Sus scrofa: one gene and its partner. Each later gene encodes a partner of the first gene's protein in a complex. Links are inferred from orthologs where the notes say so. Each region holds a gene or a part of one and is shown on either strand. Other genes may lie near its edges.

Region 1 (4,350 bases):
CATCGTTTCTCGCCTGGACTATGACAAACTGCGTCTTAACAGAGTCTCCACTCTTGACCACTCACAGTCCATCAGAATTCCCTGGTGGCCTGGTGGTTAAGGATCTGGCATTGCTACTGCAGTGGCACGGGTTCAATCCTGGGCTTGGGAACTTTCATGTGCAGCCAAAATAAATGAGTAAATAAACTTCAACTATCATTTCACTCTTTTATTTTTTATTTTTCTTTTTATGGCCACACCTGTGGCATATGGAAGTTCCCAGGCTAGGGCTCACATTGGAGCCACAGCTGCTCGCCTACACCACAGCCACAGCAACGCCAGATCTGAGCCACATTTTCGAATTATGCGTGCAGCTCATGGCAACGCCGGATCCTTTAACCCACTGAGCAAAGCCAGGGATGGCACCCACCTCCTCATGGATCCTAGTCTGGTTCTTAACCCACTGAGCCACAATGGGAACTCCCAACACTCTTCTCTTTTAAAACTCTCCCATGGCTTCCCAGAGGCACTCCGAAGGCCCCACCCACAAGATCTGGCATCAGGCATGGTGGCCTTCTTTCTGTTCCTTGAACACATGAAGTTCTTTCCCAGCTCTGGGTTCTCTGGGTTGTTGTAGCATCTCTGCCCCCTTCTTTTTTTTTTTTTTTGTCTTTTCTAGGGCCGCTCCCTCGGCATATGGAGGTTCCCAGGCTAGGGGTCGAATCAGAGCTGTAGCTGCCAGCCCACGCCACAGCCATAGCAATGCGGGATCCAAGCCGCATCTGCAACCTACACCACAGCTCACCGCAACGCCAAATCCTTAACCCACTGAGCAAGGCCAGGGATCGAACCCGCAACCTCATGGTTCCTAGTCGGATTTGTTAACCACTGCGCCACGACGGGAATTCCCACATCTCTGCCTCTTTGTGGAGCACTCTTTCTATACCTCTTCACATGCCGATCTTGTCATCCTTCAGGTCTTAGCTCAAATGTTTCCTTTTCAGAGAACTCCTCCCCAGCCACTTTATTTAAAGTGGTATCCTCTGGTTAATCTCTCCTCATTCTGTTTACTTCCTTCACGGTATATATATATATATATATATTTTTTTTTTTTAAAGCCCGCACCTGTGGCCTATGCAGGTTCCCAGGCTAGGGGTCGAATCGGAGCTACAGCTGCCGGCCATAACCACAGCCACAGCCATGCAGTATCCGAGCCGCATCTGTGACCTACATCACAGCTCTCGGCAATGCCAGATCCCTCACCCACTGAGCAAGGCCAGGGATTGAACCTGCAACCTCATGGTTCCTAGCTGGATTCATTCCCATTGCGGTATTTAACAAATACCCCTTCATGGTATTTGTTAAACTCAATAATGAACTTGACTGCTTATTGGGTAACATGTTTCCCACACAAGAAAGCAAACCAGTTCTTCATCTGTCTCGTTCATCACTTCACCCCAACACCAAACACAGTAGGTGGCATATTAGTGGTCATTCAATAAATATCTGAAAGTCAATTAAAAACTACGGAGAGAAATCCACTACTCCTTTATGGAAAACATATATTCCTAATGAAAGATAAGCCAAATATCACTTTAAATGACTTCGGAACTGACGGCCGAAAATGCTACCTGTGGAAACTCACGGTGAAAAAATACCCTGTTTGTGACAGGAAACATGTGGACTGTACTTTCTCCATCTACAGGCAGGACTTAAAAGTGCCCTGGCTGAGGAAGGGGCAGTTAGTCCCTACCCTTACCATTTCTGCGTATTCCAGCTGCTCCCCCTCACTGTACAGCTCTGGGGGCAGGTTATAAATCCGCAGGACGTTATCAGCACTATTGGTCAGGATGCAGGAACCATCAGGGGCCCTAGGAGTAGGAGAGAGAAGCCTGGATAGACCTGTATCTTGCGAGTGTTGGGCTTGAGCTGAGCAGACCTGTGGCAGAGGTGAGCCCCCTCCTCATCCTTACTTACCACTTACAGCCTTTCAAGAAGTTCTCAGGTTGGGTGCTGAACTCTGACCAGGAACCGCTAAGAAACCGGGGTAGCTGCGAGAAGCTGTAGTTCCAAGTGCTGGAAGGAAGATGGGGAAGACAAACCTGGGTCGCCAAAGCCAAGGAGAAATGGGCCTGGAGAAGTGGGGCTGAGGACTGGCGGATGAGATATATCTCACATTTCCAACCTCCTCAGATTCCTGAGCCAACTGCCATCAGCACTTACGTGTATCCCTCATCCTCTGGAGCGGGTTCCTCAGACACATCTTCCATGTCTTCTCCCGGCCCCAACTCTGGCTTGTTCGTTTCTTCTGCAGGAAGGCTCACTTTTTCAGAAAGTTCTTGCTCCTCGATTCGAGGGCTCAACTCACTAGGAGTATCAAACTCAGCTTCCAACGGAGTGGAGAGAGAAGCTGGGTCCCCTTCCCCCAGCTCCTGGGACACGGCCGAGCCAGCTCCAGGATCCGGGGATATCCGGGGCGCATCATCCCCATCGGGTGGCGGTGGCGTCTGTTCAGGGTTCGTATTTTTATCCATCGAGGAAGCCTGAGGAGAGAGACGGGCTGCAGCTGGGGCCTGGTCTGAAGGAAGGCAGTCCGGAGCTAACACTGGCGCCTCCGGGGTCTTCATACTGCAGAGGAAGCACGGCAAACATTGGCCGCGGCCAGGCAATCCTCTTCCCGCCGGCTACCAGCTGCCGGGCCTGCGGAACGGCAGAGACCGCCGTAAGTTCGCACGGATCCGGACGCAGAACTGGAGAAACCCAGCAGTGCCTTCTTTCTGCTCCCGGGATAGGACAGAAAACAGCCCCCCGCCCCCAGGCCTCGCGAGGCGAGGCGGGCGAACAGGAATGTTGGAGAGCTCGGCGATCCTTAGCCCTGTCGGTGGCTACGCGCCACCTGTTCTCGCGGGATTTGGGCCCACCATTCGATTGGACCTCCGCATCCCGGATCAGACTTCGCGGGCGACCCACAAGAGGGGCGGGGCAGGGACGTAACAGGTCACGGGTTACCGTTCCCCTCCAGTCCTGAATCTCCTAGTGCCTGCTGGGACTTGTAGTCCGAGAGCTTCTGAGTCAGGGAGATGTGTCTGAGCTCCTCGCGCTATCATTCTTCAAGCACCTACTCCCCTCCCCACCTGCAGAGGGCGCGAGCGCTATATTTGTTTTTACGGGGTTTGAACCTGTTTTGCATCTCAACTCCTCAGACCTCCGTCTCTTTTCATTCATTCAATAAATATTTATCATTGAGCTCTTCTTTGCTACCCAGTACTGTACTGGAAAAGACAAGAATGAATAAGATAGTAGGCAAGGTCTCTGCTCTCCTAACGCTTAGGTTGCTGTGTATTGAAGGCAAGGAACAAATTATTTCAAAACGTGATAGGGTCTAGGAAGGAAATTAAACAAGACAGTGTGATACAACGTAACTAGGAGAATACGTTAGCTTGGAACATTAAGGAAGGTCTTCCTAAAAATTGACATTTTAGCTAATGAGGAACTATCCAGCCATCTGGGAGAGCAGAGTTCCAGGCAAAAGGTGCAAAGGCTGTCTTTCTTTCACCTTCATGTCTGACTCGGGGACAAGTCTTTCAAAATGGTTTCCACCAATTCTGTTCTCACAGATCTGGGTTGTCGAATTTCTTCACCGCAAACTGTCAGTAGCTACAAAACCAACACAGCAGGAATCCTGACTCCCCTCACCCTCACCACCTCCGTCCGTCGCCACCGCCCGCAGGGTAATTGCTTGCCCTTACTTGTCATGGCGACTTTGTGCCAGGAGTCTCGCGATGGTTGCTGGGATTGGGATTTTCCCCTCCCATGTGCTCGGACTGGCGCTAAAAGTTTTGAGCTCCTCAAAAGTCCAGGGCCACCATCCTTGGCGCAGGTAGCTGCTGGTCTCCGGGGTCACCTGACGTCCCGTCTCGAGCGTGCATCCCAGGACAGTGACACGCTCTCCTGAGCTTCGGGTAAGCTCTTAACTGAGCCTGATGAATACTCTATGAGTCATGGGCTCTCGGGTCTGTGTATTTTCAGCTCAGAAGAAAGGAGGATGGAGGTGGAGCGAAAGATTTAGTGATTTGGGGGGGGGGGGGAAATGGAAGTTCTTCTAGCGGCATCAACAGAGGAATGCAATGTTGGGAGGCCTGAGTGTAGATGATAGGGATGTTAGGACCAACCGAACTAAAAAGCTGAACACCTGCGCCGGGTAGTGGGGCTTTGGGGAAAACTTGAGCCTGCCTAAGGGGTTCTTCCCCACCACCGCCACCACCCCATTTCAGTACCCGGTGTGGGGGAGCCCTTAATAAGACACACAAAGCATCAAGGTCCGAGGCTTTGGGATCTTGGAACTTTGGGGATTTATGGCTCGAGATTTTA
Region 2 (3,569 bases), on another chromosome or scaffold:
AACCTCCCCCACCTGCAGACTCACCTCCATCTGAAGCCATCCTCTCCGGTTTGGGCACTAACCGTGGCTGCCTGGAAGCCTTCACAATGACACGGTGGGTCCAGCACCCAGAGAGTAACCTGGCTCCAGTAGATACACAGGGATCCAAGGAAGGAATGGTAAACATCAGATCAAAACAGAACTAGAATCTAGGACCCAAGGCATTCTGCAGGGGGGGAGGGGAGGTGGCATTATGGGGTGGGGTTAGGGAGAGATTCCACAAAGGGCTCTGGAAGTGGGCAGTAACCAGGAATTCCCTCCAAATCAGAGTATGGCAACACAATTGTTGCACACCTCTCTGGGGCAACTTGCAGATTCTTTCCTGGATTCCCAACCACATCTTGGTTCCCTACAGAATTCTTCACCAATACATCTAGTTTTTGTCTTTCAATGCTACCCAGTTCTATAACTGACTTCCTATTAATAACAGGTTCTGGCAAACCCTTGACTTAATTCAGTGTTGGCTGTATTTTCTGAACCAAATTCAGAGCACATAGTCTGTGTACTTAAGGATCAAGGGAACAGAATGTTTGAAATTAGGGTTGTCTTAGAAGATCAAGGGCATTGAATTGCTGTATACATATCATTTCCTTGGAAAGCTGTGCTGCAGTTCCCAAACTGTCCACTACCATCAGCTCTGCAGTCCACAGAAGGCTTAGCCTTAACCCTGGCTGAAAAGCCTCCCATTCCATCAAAAACTGCTATTCAGCCTAAAATTTCAAGAGCAAAAAGTCCTTCTTTTTGTTTGTTATTTTTGTTTAAAATTTTTGTTAATAATCTTAATTTTTTAAATGGTAATATGTCAGCATGGTTCAAAAGTCAAACTATGCAAAATGAAATATAACAAGTCTCCAACCATTCCTTTCCTCTGGAACCGAGTTATTTACCCCAGGGAAAACCAAATTTCCTCTGAATCCTTGCAAAGGTATTTTATGCAATTATAATAAACACAAACTATACTCTTTTTAAAAAAGCTTTCAGCTTTTTCTGGTTATAAACTTAATATATATTACAACGTTTCTGCCGTTATAAATAATAACGGCCACCTTCGTAAAGATATCTCGGTTCCAAATTCATTGCTTTAACTAGAAGTCCTATAAGGAGAATTTGTACGTTCTTTTAAAAATTCGAAATACCCCTAAGGGGTGCGTCTTATTAGCTACTCACCACTATAAGAATGGGCGTTGAATTTGTGGTAGAGACTTGAGTTTGAATCTTGGTTCGACCATTAAAACATACTTCACCAGTTTCATAAAATAACTTCACGCTCTTTTCGCTGTACAGAATATTGAATACCCATCATGCACTCTTTACCGCCAATACTTTGAAATAGGGCGAGGGAACCGGATGTAAAAGAGGGGAGGGAAGAAAACCTTCTTCTTTCTTCCCTAAAGTAAAAGGGGTTCTGGGTCCTGGAGCCCTGGTTTCTCCAGGTAATAGAAGCTCACTGCCTCTGAAATGGGTGTGTATCTTGTGATAAAGACAGGATTTTATTCATTAATGTTCAATCTATATCCATCCCTTCCCCCCACTGACGCCAAGCAGTGCCTAGCACACAGTGGGCACACTCCACGTGTCTCATAACGCCTGCAAGTTTGCAACTGGATTGCAACTGGCCAAGTCCTGCGGTAGTGCCCCCTTCCGGCCGGCTGGAGAAAGGCCTAAGTTGGACTACATTTCCCGGCGTGCTTTGAGAGCGAGACTTCCGTCTATACCGGAAGGAAGTTGCCAAACACTTTAGGCCTTCAGTTAGAAGCAGCTGCGGAAGGACCTGCGTCTACTGGCTTCAGCGTGATCATGTTTCTCCAGTATTATCTCAACGAGCAGGGAGACCGGGTCTATACCTTAAAGGTGAGAAGAAACAGGTTGTAAATGGGCATGACGAGAACTGTAGTTGGGAGGGGCGGTCAAGGCAAGCCAGTGAATTGCCTGCCTGGGTGAGGGGAACTAGAAAGCCCAGAAGCTACGCGTAGTAGAAGCAGGAGTGTCTGGCTCCTGGATCCGACCGTCGCGTGTCCTGTCTTCATGTTTACCTTTTTCCGCGTTGCCCCCTCCCCATCCCAGGCCCCATCTCTCATGACTCTCAGTGATAGGGTTTTCTCACCACTCCATTACTGAGATTTGTTATCTCTTTCCTCCTCGAGCAGAAGCTCGACCCCACGGGACAACAGACTTGCTCGGCCCATCCTGCTCGGTTCTCCCCAGACGACAAATATTCTCGACACCGGATCACTATCAAGAAACGCTTCAAGGTGCTTATGACCCAGCAACCGCGCCCCGTCCTTTGAGAATCTCTTAAAATTGTATGCTGCCTGCTAGCGCTCAAGAGACTGTGCAACCAAGCTCTTCGATCTGTGAGCCTTGAAGATTTACTCCAACCCTTGCTCATTAGAATCCGGTCTCATCATTGCCTTTGATCATGCTTGTTGTGAAGCAGTCATGCTAGCATTCCCTTTAAAGGGAAAAAGTTTGAATCTTTTTTTTCATACTTTGAATCACTGCCATGTTATTAAAATGATTTGAAAGAGCTCTTATTTTGTATGTTGTAAGAAGAGAGGATTGGTTTAAAAACAAACGAGGGAGATGAGAGGGAAGAGTACCCCAGGGATACAAGACTTCTTGGTGGCTGCTGTAGCAGTAGTGCTATGCTATGAGTCATAGGAGGGGGCTGGGGAAAGGGAGGAAAGCTTGAGAAAGACTCATCTGCAACAGCCACCTTCACTTGGCCAACCGTTGTGAATAGGAATGCCTTTATGTGTGTTTACTGACCCTGTGGAAATATTCCCAGGCCTTTAGTTCTTTCCATCAAGGAATTCTCTTCTTACATACACCTAACTTCACATTCTGTCTGCTATGTGGAATTCTACATGGATCTTAATTTAGAAGATGAGGCATGAGAGATTCAAGCAGGGATTTTTATTTTTCATGCTCCTCTTGAGGGATCATTTTTATTAAATTGTGGAGGATGTCTTAGGCCTTGAGCTTCTGTCATGGGGTAATCACAAATTTTTAATCCGATTACTTCATAATAGAGGGATGATGAGGCATAATATTGTATACAGGTATCCAAGAAATCCGGGAGTTTCCTGGTGGTCTAGTGGTTAGGTAGGACTCTGCGTTTTCACCCCTGCAGCCTAAGTTCAATACCTGGTCTGGGAGCTGAGATCCCATCTCAGGCCACTGCATGCCTCCAGCCAAAAAAAAAGAAAGAAAGAAATGCTAATGCTAACTTGCTTTTTCCATTCCTTAGGTTAATCGACTCACTATTTCCTAATCTTCTCATTTCTGGCTTTTGACGTTGAATTTAAACGTTTTCTTAGTGCCACTGATTTAAAATTGCCTTTTGGAGATTGCATCCAATTGTACAATCTTCTTTTCCTACATAGGCTTCCAGAAGCAGATGTGACTTAAATAAGCGCAAATCTGATTTATCAAGAGTGGTCCTGGAAAGGGGTAAATGTGCTTCTCTTGGACTCTGATGTTCGATCATCCCAGCAGAAAAGTTATAGTTGTTGACTGCTGAGGGGGAA

The links.
Region 2: WRAP53 (region 1) and NOP10 share a complex: the UniProt entries of both Homo sapiens proteins name them as parts of the telomerase holoenzyme complex. The link is inferred for Sus scrofa from reciprocal best matches to the Homo sapiens genes WRAP53 and NOP10.

The regions. Positions count from the first base shown.
Region 1 is NC_010454.4:52,953,266-52,957,615, reverse strand, and holds the start of WRAP53 (telomerase Cajal body protein 1), read right to left. Parts: upstream 2,943-4,350; 5' UTR 2,607-2,942; coding exon 2,203-2,606; intron 2,056-2,202; coding exon 1,957-2,055; intron 1,851-1,956; coding exon 1,739-1,850; intron 1-1,738. UniProt on the Homo sapiens protein: RNA chaperone that plays a key role in telomere maintenance and RNA localization to Cajal bodies. Specifically recognizes and binds the Cajal body box (CAB box) present in both small Cajal body RNAs (scaRNAs) and telomerase RNA template component (TERC).
Region 2 is NC_010449.5:80,159,295-80,162,863, forward strand, and holds NOP10 (H/ACA ribonucleoprotein complex subunit 3), read left to right. Parts: upstream 1-1,729; 5' UTR 1,730-1,836; coding exon 1,837-1,890; intron 1,891-2,186; coding exon 2,187-2,327; 3' UTR 2,328-3,005; downstream 3,006-3,569. Other genes in the region: NUTM1 (NUT family member 1), read right to left, coding at 25-166. UniProt on the Homo sapiens protein: Required for ribosome biogenesis and telomere maintenance. Part of the H/ACA small nucleolar ribonucleoprotein (H/ACA snoRNP) complex, which catalyzes pseudouridylation of rRNA.